2 linked regions of the Schizosaccharomyces pombe genome follow. Changing the gene in region 1 together with any one later gene gives a genetic interaction. Each region holds a gene or a part of one and is shown in the gene's direction. Other genes may lie near its edges.

Region 1 (4,139 bases):
TGTTGAGGATATGGGTTCCATGATGGCCAAGGCAAAGGCAGAAGCAGCCTTGCCAGTGGGTACTAAAGAGATGGTTTCGACAGAGTCTCCTACGTATAAAGCCCTTACAAAGCAGGGATACAGCGTAGTTGGCTCACATAGTGGTGTAAAGATTTGCAGATGGACAAAGTCTGCTATGCGTGGCCGAGGCTTTTGCTATAAGTATAGTTTCTATGGAATTCGAAGTCATCTATGTATGGAAGCTACCCCAAGTTTAGCCTGTGCTAATAAATGTACTTTTTGTTGGAGACATGGTACGAATCCCGTAGGAACCTCTTGGCGCTGGAAGGTTGATCCTCCAGAAATGATACTTCAGGGTATATTGAAGGCTCATTATGCCAAGTTAAAATTAATGAAAGGTGTACCTGGTGTTCTACCCGACAGATATGAAGAAGCGTCTCGTGTTCGTCACTGTGCTTTGTCCTTGGTTGGAGAGCCTATATTTTATCCATACATAAACGAATTTGTGTCCATGCTTCATGAAAGAGAGATTTCATCGTTCTTAGTAACAAATGCCCAGCATCCTGAAGCATTAAGAAATATGGGTATGGTCACTCAACTCTACGTTTCTGTTGATGCCAGTACTAAGCAGAGTCTCAAATCAGTAGACCGACCATTATTCAAGGATTTTTGGGAGCGAATGCTAACGTGTTTGGAGATTTTACGTGAAAAGCGGCAGCGTACTGTTTACCGAATGACCTTGGTGAAGGGATTCAACATGGAGCAAATTAAAGAGTATACTGAACTGATTCGTCTTGGTGTGCCTTGTTTCATCGAAGTTAAGGGGGTTACTTATAGTGGTAATTCGGATCAATCACCGTTGACTATGAAGAATGTGCCTTATTATGAAGAGGTAATTGACTTTGTTAAAAAATTGATTGAGTATATTGATATTCATTTACAAGACCTTGGCGTCCGCTATGAAATTGCTGCAGAACATGCACACAGCTGCAGTATTTTAGTTGCTCAAACTGCGTTCAAAAAAGATGGCCATTGGCATACTCACATTGATTATCCAAAGTTTTTCGAATTAATACGGACAAAGAAAGACTTTGGTCCATTCGATTATATGGCATCCACGCCCGATTTTGCCATGTTTGGGAACGGTGGATTCAGTCCAGAGGATACAAGATTTCACAGGAAGAAAAAGACACAAACATCTAAACCAATTTCTGCAACCATTTCAGAAACTGCTACAATTTCGGAAGCCGCTGCGTAAGCCAACTTTTGTAGTAAATAGCTGAAGAAAAAAAAGAGTGACACACTCTAAAGTTTATGAACTGTTGAGCAGTTTTTGTACGCGTCTGCACTCATTGATAAAAAAAAATTAAGATTTTGGCATAGGTTATTTTCGTTAATTCATTAATATATTTTTTGATTTATCAATACAAAAAAACGATGAAGGCTTATTTGCTTAATTTCGTTCATATATTTATAGTTTCAATGGGCGTAAAGTAATAAAAATGTTGACGATATTGTACTCAATTGTTTTTTTAGTTAGACAAGTATATCGCAACCTGTCTCTATTTTTATTTATATAGTAACCTGAGTCGTAACTTTTAATTTTCTTTTTTTTTTATGATTGAGAAACAAAGAATACATTCTTTCTGTTTTAGGACTCGTGGAAATGTCTTGGAGTAATTCGAGCATACTGAGATTACAACTACTACATATGATTACAATTCGTTTTTTAAAGAAGGACTATTCGTTTTCAACCCTTATGACCAGATAGAAAGAAATCCATATATATATTATATATTTAAAAAATTAAAGTTGACATTGTGAAGAGCCATAATCCATACATGGTTAATAAAGTAGGTTAACTTGAGGAAGGAATGGATAATTGTGTAAACTCCTTTGAGGATCAGAAGGATGACTTGGTGCATAAGAAGAAAAGTCAAAATTTCGGCTATGTATGCGGAAGTATTAATTTAGGAACAAATGTGATTGCTCAAAGTCCAACAAAGCCATTGAATTTTTTTCATTCGTCAAGATGGTCGCCGGATGGATCGACTATACTTTCGTTAACAGAGGATCAATGTCTTAACTGTTGGAATGTGCCGTTTTCCGATTTATCCAAAAAGGCTGATGGACCATTGAACTTTTCAAAACATCTGTCGTATAAATATCAATCACCGGAAACAGTTTACAGTTACAGTTGGTATTCGAGAATGAAACTTGACGATCCTTCCAGTAACCTTTTTGCAGTGTCTAGTAGGGATCAACCTATCAAGTTGATCAATTTTACTACAGGAAAGAACAAGGCTTCATATCACATGATAGATCACCAAGAGAGATATCAAGGATCGCATTGTTTACAGTTTACCAACGATGGGGAGTATTTGATTGCGGGTGATAAAAACTGTCTCCATCATTTTAATATAAGAACGGGATGTAAAGAACCTGTCATGACAACGGTAACCCATGGATATAAAGTCCCTCTTTGGGAATTTAGTCTTAAGGGTATACAGTCATGCTTTTCCTTGAATCCGATGGATTCGAAAACATTGGCAGTGGGAACGTATTCAAATCGAGTTGGGATTTATAATGATTGCGGACGTCGCCCTTGTCAGCTAGAGTTTTCGATTGAAAGAGGAAACGGAGTGACACATCTACAATGGTGTGAGGATGGAGAAAAGTTATATGTTGGAAGCAGATGCAGTGATAAGATTGAAGTTTGGGATATACGGTATGTGCGCGACATGGTATATGCTCTTGAAGGGCATCGTGGCGATACGAACCAAAGGATTCTTTTCGACACTGATAAAAAGGATGAAATTTTGGCAGGTGGGACGGATGGAAGTATTCGTAGATGGAGAAACAAGGATCTTGTGGAAGAAACGCATGTGACGGGAAATTACGATTTGACGGTAAACACAGTACAAGCGAACCCTATAAACATGCAGATAAAGTGTGTATGTTATGGAAATAGAATTTACAAGTATGAGAAGGATGAAAGTGAAGAAGAGGATGAAAGTAAAGAGAAGGATCTTTGGACAGGAACGGTTTCGGCTTTACAGGTTTGGATGGATTGAAAAAGCAAAATTTGGAATGAATGAATACTTGAAAAAATAAAAAATGGTGAGCTTGAAGGAAGAACTTTATGAGGATGATTTGATTATTAATAGAAAAACATTAGAAAACCGGTTCTAAATTGGTGTATTGGTGAATGGGTGTTTTTTTCGCAATCAGGAGGAGTCCTCAGACATGTTGAGGGGTTTCATTATTTAGATTATGATAAATTAAAAAATAAAAGAGATGAATTTTATGCAAATAGTTGATTATAAGAGCGCAACAATCTTTGTATTAATAAAACTACACATTCGCTTATTAAATAACCTTAAACTCGGTTATACATGGATTTCCAAGTGTCGCAAGTAGAGGAGAAATGGAGAAAATGGAAAGCAAAGAATGGATGAAAATTGTAAATCAGCAGTTTCGAACTTTTCAAAAATTTGTTAAAAATATTAATTTTTCAATTTAATTGAATTTTGTTTTACAAGGTGGATACTATGGAGGAAAAAACAAGATATGTATGGAAAAGGTAGCGATCGCAAAGGAAAAAAAATATTAGAAAAGGAAATGGAATGAAATTAATTGAACGAAATGAAAAGGACATGAAAATAAACAGAAGTATAGAACAAGAAAAAAAAAATTTTTTTTTAAAATAACATAAGGATGGAAGTGATCCGGAGTGAATAAATAGAGGGAAATGAAAAAAATAAATAAATAAAAAATAAATAATAAAATAAAAAATATTTATATACACATACATATAGATTGGAAAAAGATGAAAGAAAAAAAATGAACCAACCAATCTATCAATAAGTAAATCAATTAATCAATAAATATATAAAAATAAAAATTCTAAAACCAAGAAAAAAAAAAGAAAAAGAAAAAAGATTGAAATCTTATAAACAAATCCTTCTACGCTGCATACAAACACGTTACCACAGTCTGGAGTACTGTTGGAGAGTGAACCGAGACAGCCGCGGGGCGGTCCTTCGGCGAAACCAACGAGACGTTAAATATTTGCGATAATATTGTATAGTGCAAGTATGATAAAGACCGGTAACAAAAGTATAGCGGAAATTGAAAAC
Region 2 (4,157 bases), on another chromosome or scaffold:
TTGCATGCAGCTATACTAAAGTAGTTCATGACTGTACATATGCTCTAGTCATCAATCCGTATGATAAAAAAGTGATATGGAGGAGAGGACTAGCTTATTTGCGACTTGGACATCCTCACTTAGCCAATCGTGATTGGGAGCATTCACTTGAACTGGACCCAAACAATACATACATCCAAAAATCTCTTCATAGATTAAAGGAAGTGTATTACATTTACAGAGAATGTGCAGAAACATGGCAGTTAAGACACCTTAGAGTTGCTTCTTCTCAGCAATTACCTGTAGGATTGCGAAAACAATACCCTAATATAATTCGTGGCAAGATCTGGTGGAAGAAAGTGCACGACAATTGCCAATTGTGTGGACAGCAATGCGAACTGAAAAAGGAGAATCTTTCAGCAATGCGGTCTATGCTTTACATGGCAAATACTTATGCAAAGGATGATACCGAAAATCACTCGCCCAGCGCCCAAATCGGAATAGAAAGCTCGGAGGACGAATTAGAAAATAAAATAACTAAGGGAGAACACTCTCTATTGGTCCCAGAGGAACTGTACAGATCCAATTACCCATGCCCTCAAAACATAGATCAGTTTCTTTATATGATAAAAGTCCTATCTGCCCCCTGTTTGTACATTGAAACGTTTTCATTTCCTATTTCCACAATTAATCAATTGTTCAAAGCTCATGGAATGTCGGTTGAGCAGTTAAATTTATTCTTAAAATCAATACACTATATCGGATTGTGTTCAAGGTTTTGCAAGCAATGGTCCGACAAGGCACGATCGCTGATGCAAGCGTTGAGTGGGCTGCCGTGGTTCAGTTTTGTCGTGCAACATTGTTTACATATAACGGCAGCTCAAATTCTTTTGCATATTCCTGACATCCAAGAAGAAGAATTCAGAAACTGGCATGTTTCCAAAAAACCCATCAACAATACTGATCTCTCTTCTGAATTTGAAATTGCAGAGATCCCAATCAATTGCTACACATGATAACATTGATGACAATAAATTTTTGTATGTTAAGTCAGTCCAGAAACCATCGATGCAATCATTTGGAGTAGAAGGCATTAATAACCGTGTGTAGTTTATGAATAACACATTCATTGTATATCAACCTCTTATTTTCAGTGCTGAAATAATCATTATCAACCACATGAAGCTATATATTTGTGGGCAAAGTAGAAATGTTTGCCATTTTGTTTACCGCCGGATACACCAAGCAATGAAGACAGTCATCGACCCAATACACAAGTATTGTCCGTCAAATGTTAAGTGTAATTGTTAAAGAAATTGAACAAAATGAAAGAGACAAAAAAACTTTCAAGACAGTTTTGTGTTGCACACCAATACTGCCGTTTCTCATACTCTGAGTATATGCCATGAATCGCATATTCACGATTTAATCAAAATAAAAAAGATATCCAAAATATCTACATCTCTGTTACTAAATTGCTTGTTTATTTATAACAAAGCCATTTCACAGATACACAGCCAACGTGGTAAAGCAACCCTTTTCTCATAATCGCTACAACAGCAAAAAAATATATGTCTAATGCAGGTTTTTCAATTTTCTATTATCTCTATTAACTAAACGTTCATTTCATACAATTTTATCGGTATGGCAAGGTTATGGTAGTCTACAAGTTGAAAACCGCAGAATGAATCGGCTATTATATGCTTACGATGAGGATGACGTATTCCATATGTTTGTGTTACGCTGCACACACTATGACGGTTTCCCAATACTCTTCTTTTGACCTTAGCTCTTTACATAAATTCCAGTAAAAAAGCGAAGAAAGCCGTTTTTTTGTGTTTGTTGAAAAACGATACGTTGGTCCTTTTGGTGTTTATGTTTTTGTGCTTGTATTAGAATAATAGATTGTATAGAGGCTTGTCATCGTAAAATTGTTTCAAAGGCGAACGCCAATTTTAACATTAGAGCTTGCAATTCTTTAAACGAAGCACCATTACTATTCTCTTCCTTTTTTTTGTATTGTTTTTCTTTTATTTTTTACTCTTTAGGGTGGATTTAAAGTTGGGCACCCCTGTAGGAGTATTCTAAATTTGTTGTTGTGAGAGTAGTTTATCAGGTGGATTTATATTCTTTTCGCTTTTCTTCCTAAGATCTTTAGTATCCTTATTTCCTCCCCTTTCTTTGTGAGTATATCGTATAGGAACAGTTACGTTACTGTTGTATGAATATTAGACGGAATACTGGTTCAATTTCTAAAGATGGATTCTGGGTCAAGAGTAAACGTCAACATTCAAGGGACTCGAGTTCTCAAAAACAAGCTGGGAAAAATTCCTGACATCGACATATCTACAGATGGAAAGTACTTATTATCTGCATCAACGAATGATGTTCTGTTAGTTTGGGATTTGCACACTTCCAACAAAGTTGCGTTCTTTGAAGCACCAAGCGTATGGATTATGACTTGTGCATTCTCACCCTCCACTAAGAGCATAGCAGCTGGAGGGCTGAACAACTTTTGCGTAGTATACGATACCAGTGTTCCAGATGCGGATCCGGTCGAATTGGTTGGGCATGCAGGATTTGTTTCGTGCTGTAAGTATGTCGATGACGGTCATTTGCTTACGGGTTCTGGCGATAAAACTTGCATGTTTTGGGACATAGAGCAGGCAAAAGCCATTAGCGTTTTGAAAGGTCATGAAATGGATATTGTCTCTCTAGATTTCCTACCCTCAAATCCCAATTTATTTGTTACCGGAGGCTGTGACAAATTAGCCAAGCTCTGGGACCTTCGGGCTGCTTATTGTTGTGCCACATTTCCCGGAAATACATCGGATATTAATTCCATTTCCTTTTTTCCTTCTAACGCTGATTTTGTTACGGGTGCAGAGGATGGTATCGCTCGGTGCTTTGACATTCGTGCTTCTGCTGAGATATTCCAGTATTCATCTCCATCATCCTCCCCCATTAATTCAGTCTTATTTTCCAAGTCTGGAAAACTTCTTTTTATCGCAAAAGATAAAACATGCGAGGTTTGGGATTCCATCTCAAGCAAAACCATCACATCATTAACAGGCCATGAAAATCGAATTAGCTCTTTAGCTTTAACTTCTGATGGAACAATGTTGGCAACTGGCTCTTGGGACGAATGTGTTCGTCTCTGGTCTTCGTCAGGGTAAATTAATGATTTTTTTTCTCCTTTTTTTTTTGTCTTTGGAAATGATGATGTTTGTTTTGTTTTTTTTTCTTATACATTTACGTTTTCGATTCTAGGAGGTTGACTGCTTCATGTCCCACTGGTTTATTATTTTTCTTAATTTTTTATACGTTTATGCGTGGTTTCGTGATGCTTTACTGATAATGTATTCATAAACCCTTGTGTACTAATTCCCTATTTTTTTCGTTACGTTTCTCTTTTATTTCTAAACAAAAATATACCTTTTCGAAAATTTCGCCTTGCAAAGGTTGGCGCTTTTTTATTACTATTTAATTATTGCGATTTTGTAAACGTTTAATCCTAACGATTACCCTTTAGTCTTTTTTTCTTAAAGGTATTTTTCTTCTTACGTATGATAATAAACTTTTTTATAAATGTTGTCTTGCTGTTTTTTAAAACTTATTTTTATGAAAGAACAACCCAAATATTAAATTCTTTTATTAAATAAAATTCTATGTATGTATACTACGAATTGAAAGAAACTGTAAATAGCTATAATACAAAGAGCGTAAAGTACCCGTATTCGCTCTTATTCATCTAAAAATCCCCCCATCACCGATGCCCACTCGTTAATACAAGAACCTGGCTTAGTTTCATAATCGGGTATGTTGAAGGGGCAATCACAATTACAACCATATTCTTGACCACAGTGTTGAATTGTGGAATGTTGATACCCAAGGTCTCTAAAGTAATGGACTTGAGATCGATTAAGGAGAAGACCCACTGCTAGCGAATGCACCGGAGCATCGCCCCACTAAAATAAGTTAGTAATCAGAGATAGGAAAAAAGTATGAAGAAGATTGCACTTCGAAGAACACAATGCTTTTTTTTTTTTGAATAAACTGTAAAAACATACCCTTTCAGTCCAAAATCCTCCAGCATTTTCCAATGCGTCGACATATTCATTATACTCTTTACTATTGTAAAAGTCTAAGCGTGCAATTTCGAAGTTACTCCAAAAATG

What was found. A genetic interaction does not mean that the proteins touch.
Region 2: of gnr1 (region 1) and git5, changing one suppresses a phenotype caused by changing the other (phenotypic suppression), as found in Schizosaccharomyces pombe (one study listed by BioGRID).

Annotation. Positions count from the first base shown.
Region 1 is NC_003421.2:765,105-769,243, reverse strand, and holds gnr1 (heterotrimeric G protein beta subunit Gnr1 ), read left to right. Parts: upstream 1-1,700; 5' UTR 1,701-1,874; coding exon 1,875-3,074; 3' UTR 3,075-3,308; downstream 3,309-4,139. Other genes in the region: wybutosine biosynthesis protein Tyw1, read left to right, coding at 1-1,258. UniProt on the Schizosaccharomyces pombe protein: Negatively regulates the pheromone-response pathway. Acts as a structural mimic of the G protein beta subunit thereby interacting with gpa1 which then inhibits gpa1 signaling.
Region 2 is NC_003423.3:1,462,089-1,466,245, forward strand, and holds git5 (heterotrimeric G protein beta (WD repeat) subunit Git5), read left to right. Parts: upstream 1-1,760; 5' UTR 1,761-2,237; coding exon 2,238-3,155; 3' UTR 3,156-3,657; downstream 3,658-4,157. Other genes in the region: mug93 (TPR repeat-containing protein), read left to right, coding at 11-995; putative alpha-1,2-mannosyltransferase Omh5, read right to left, coding at 3,723-3,947, 4,050-4,157. UniProt on the Schizosaccharomyces pombe protein: Beta subunit of the heterotrimeric guanine nucleotide-binding protein (G protein) involved in glucose-induced cAMP signaling.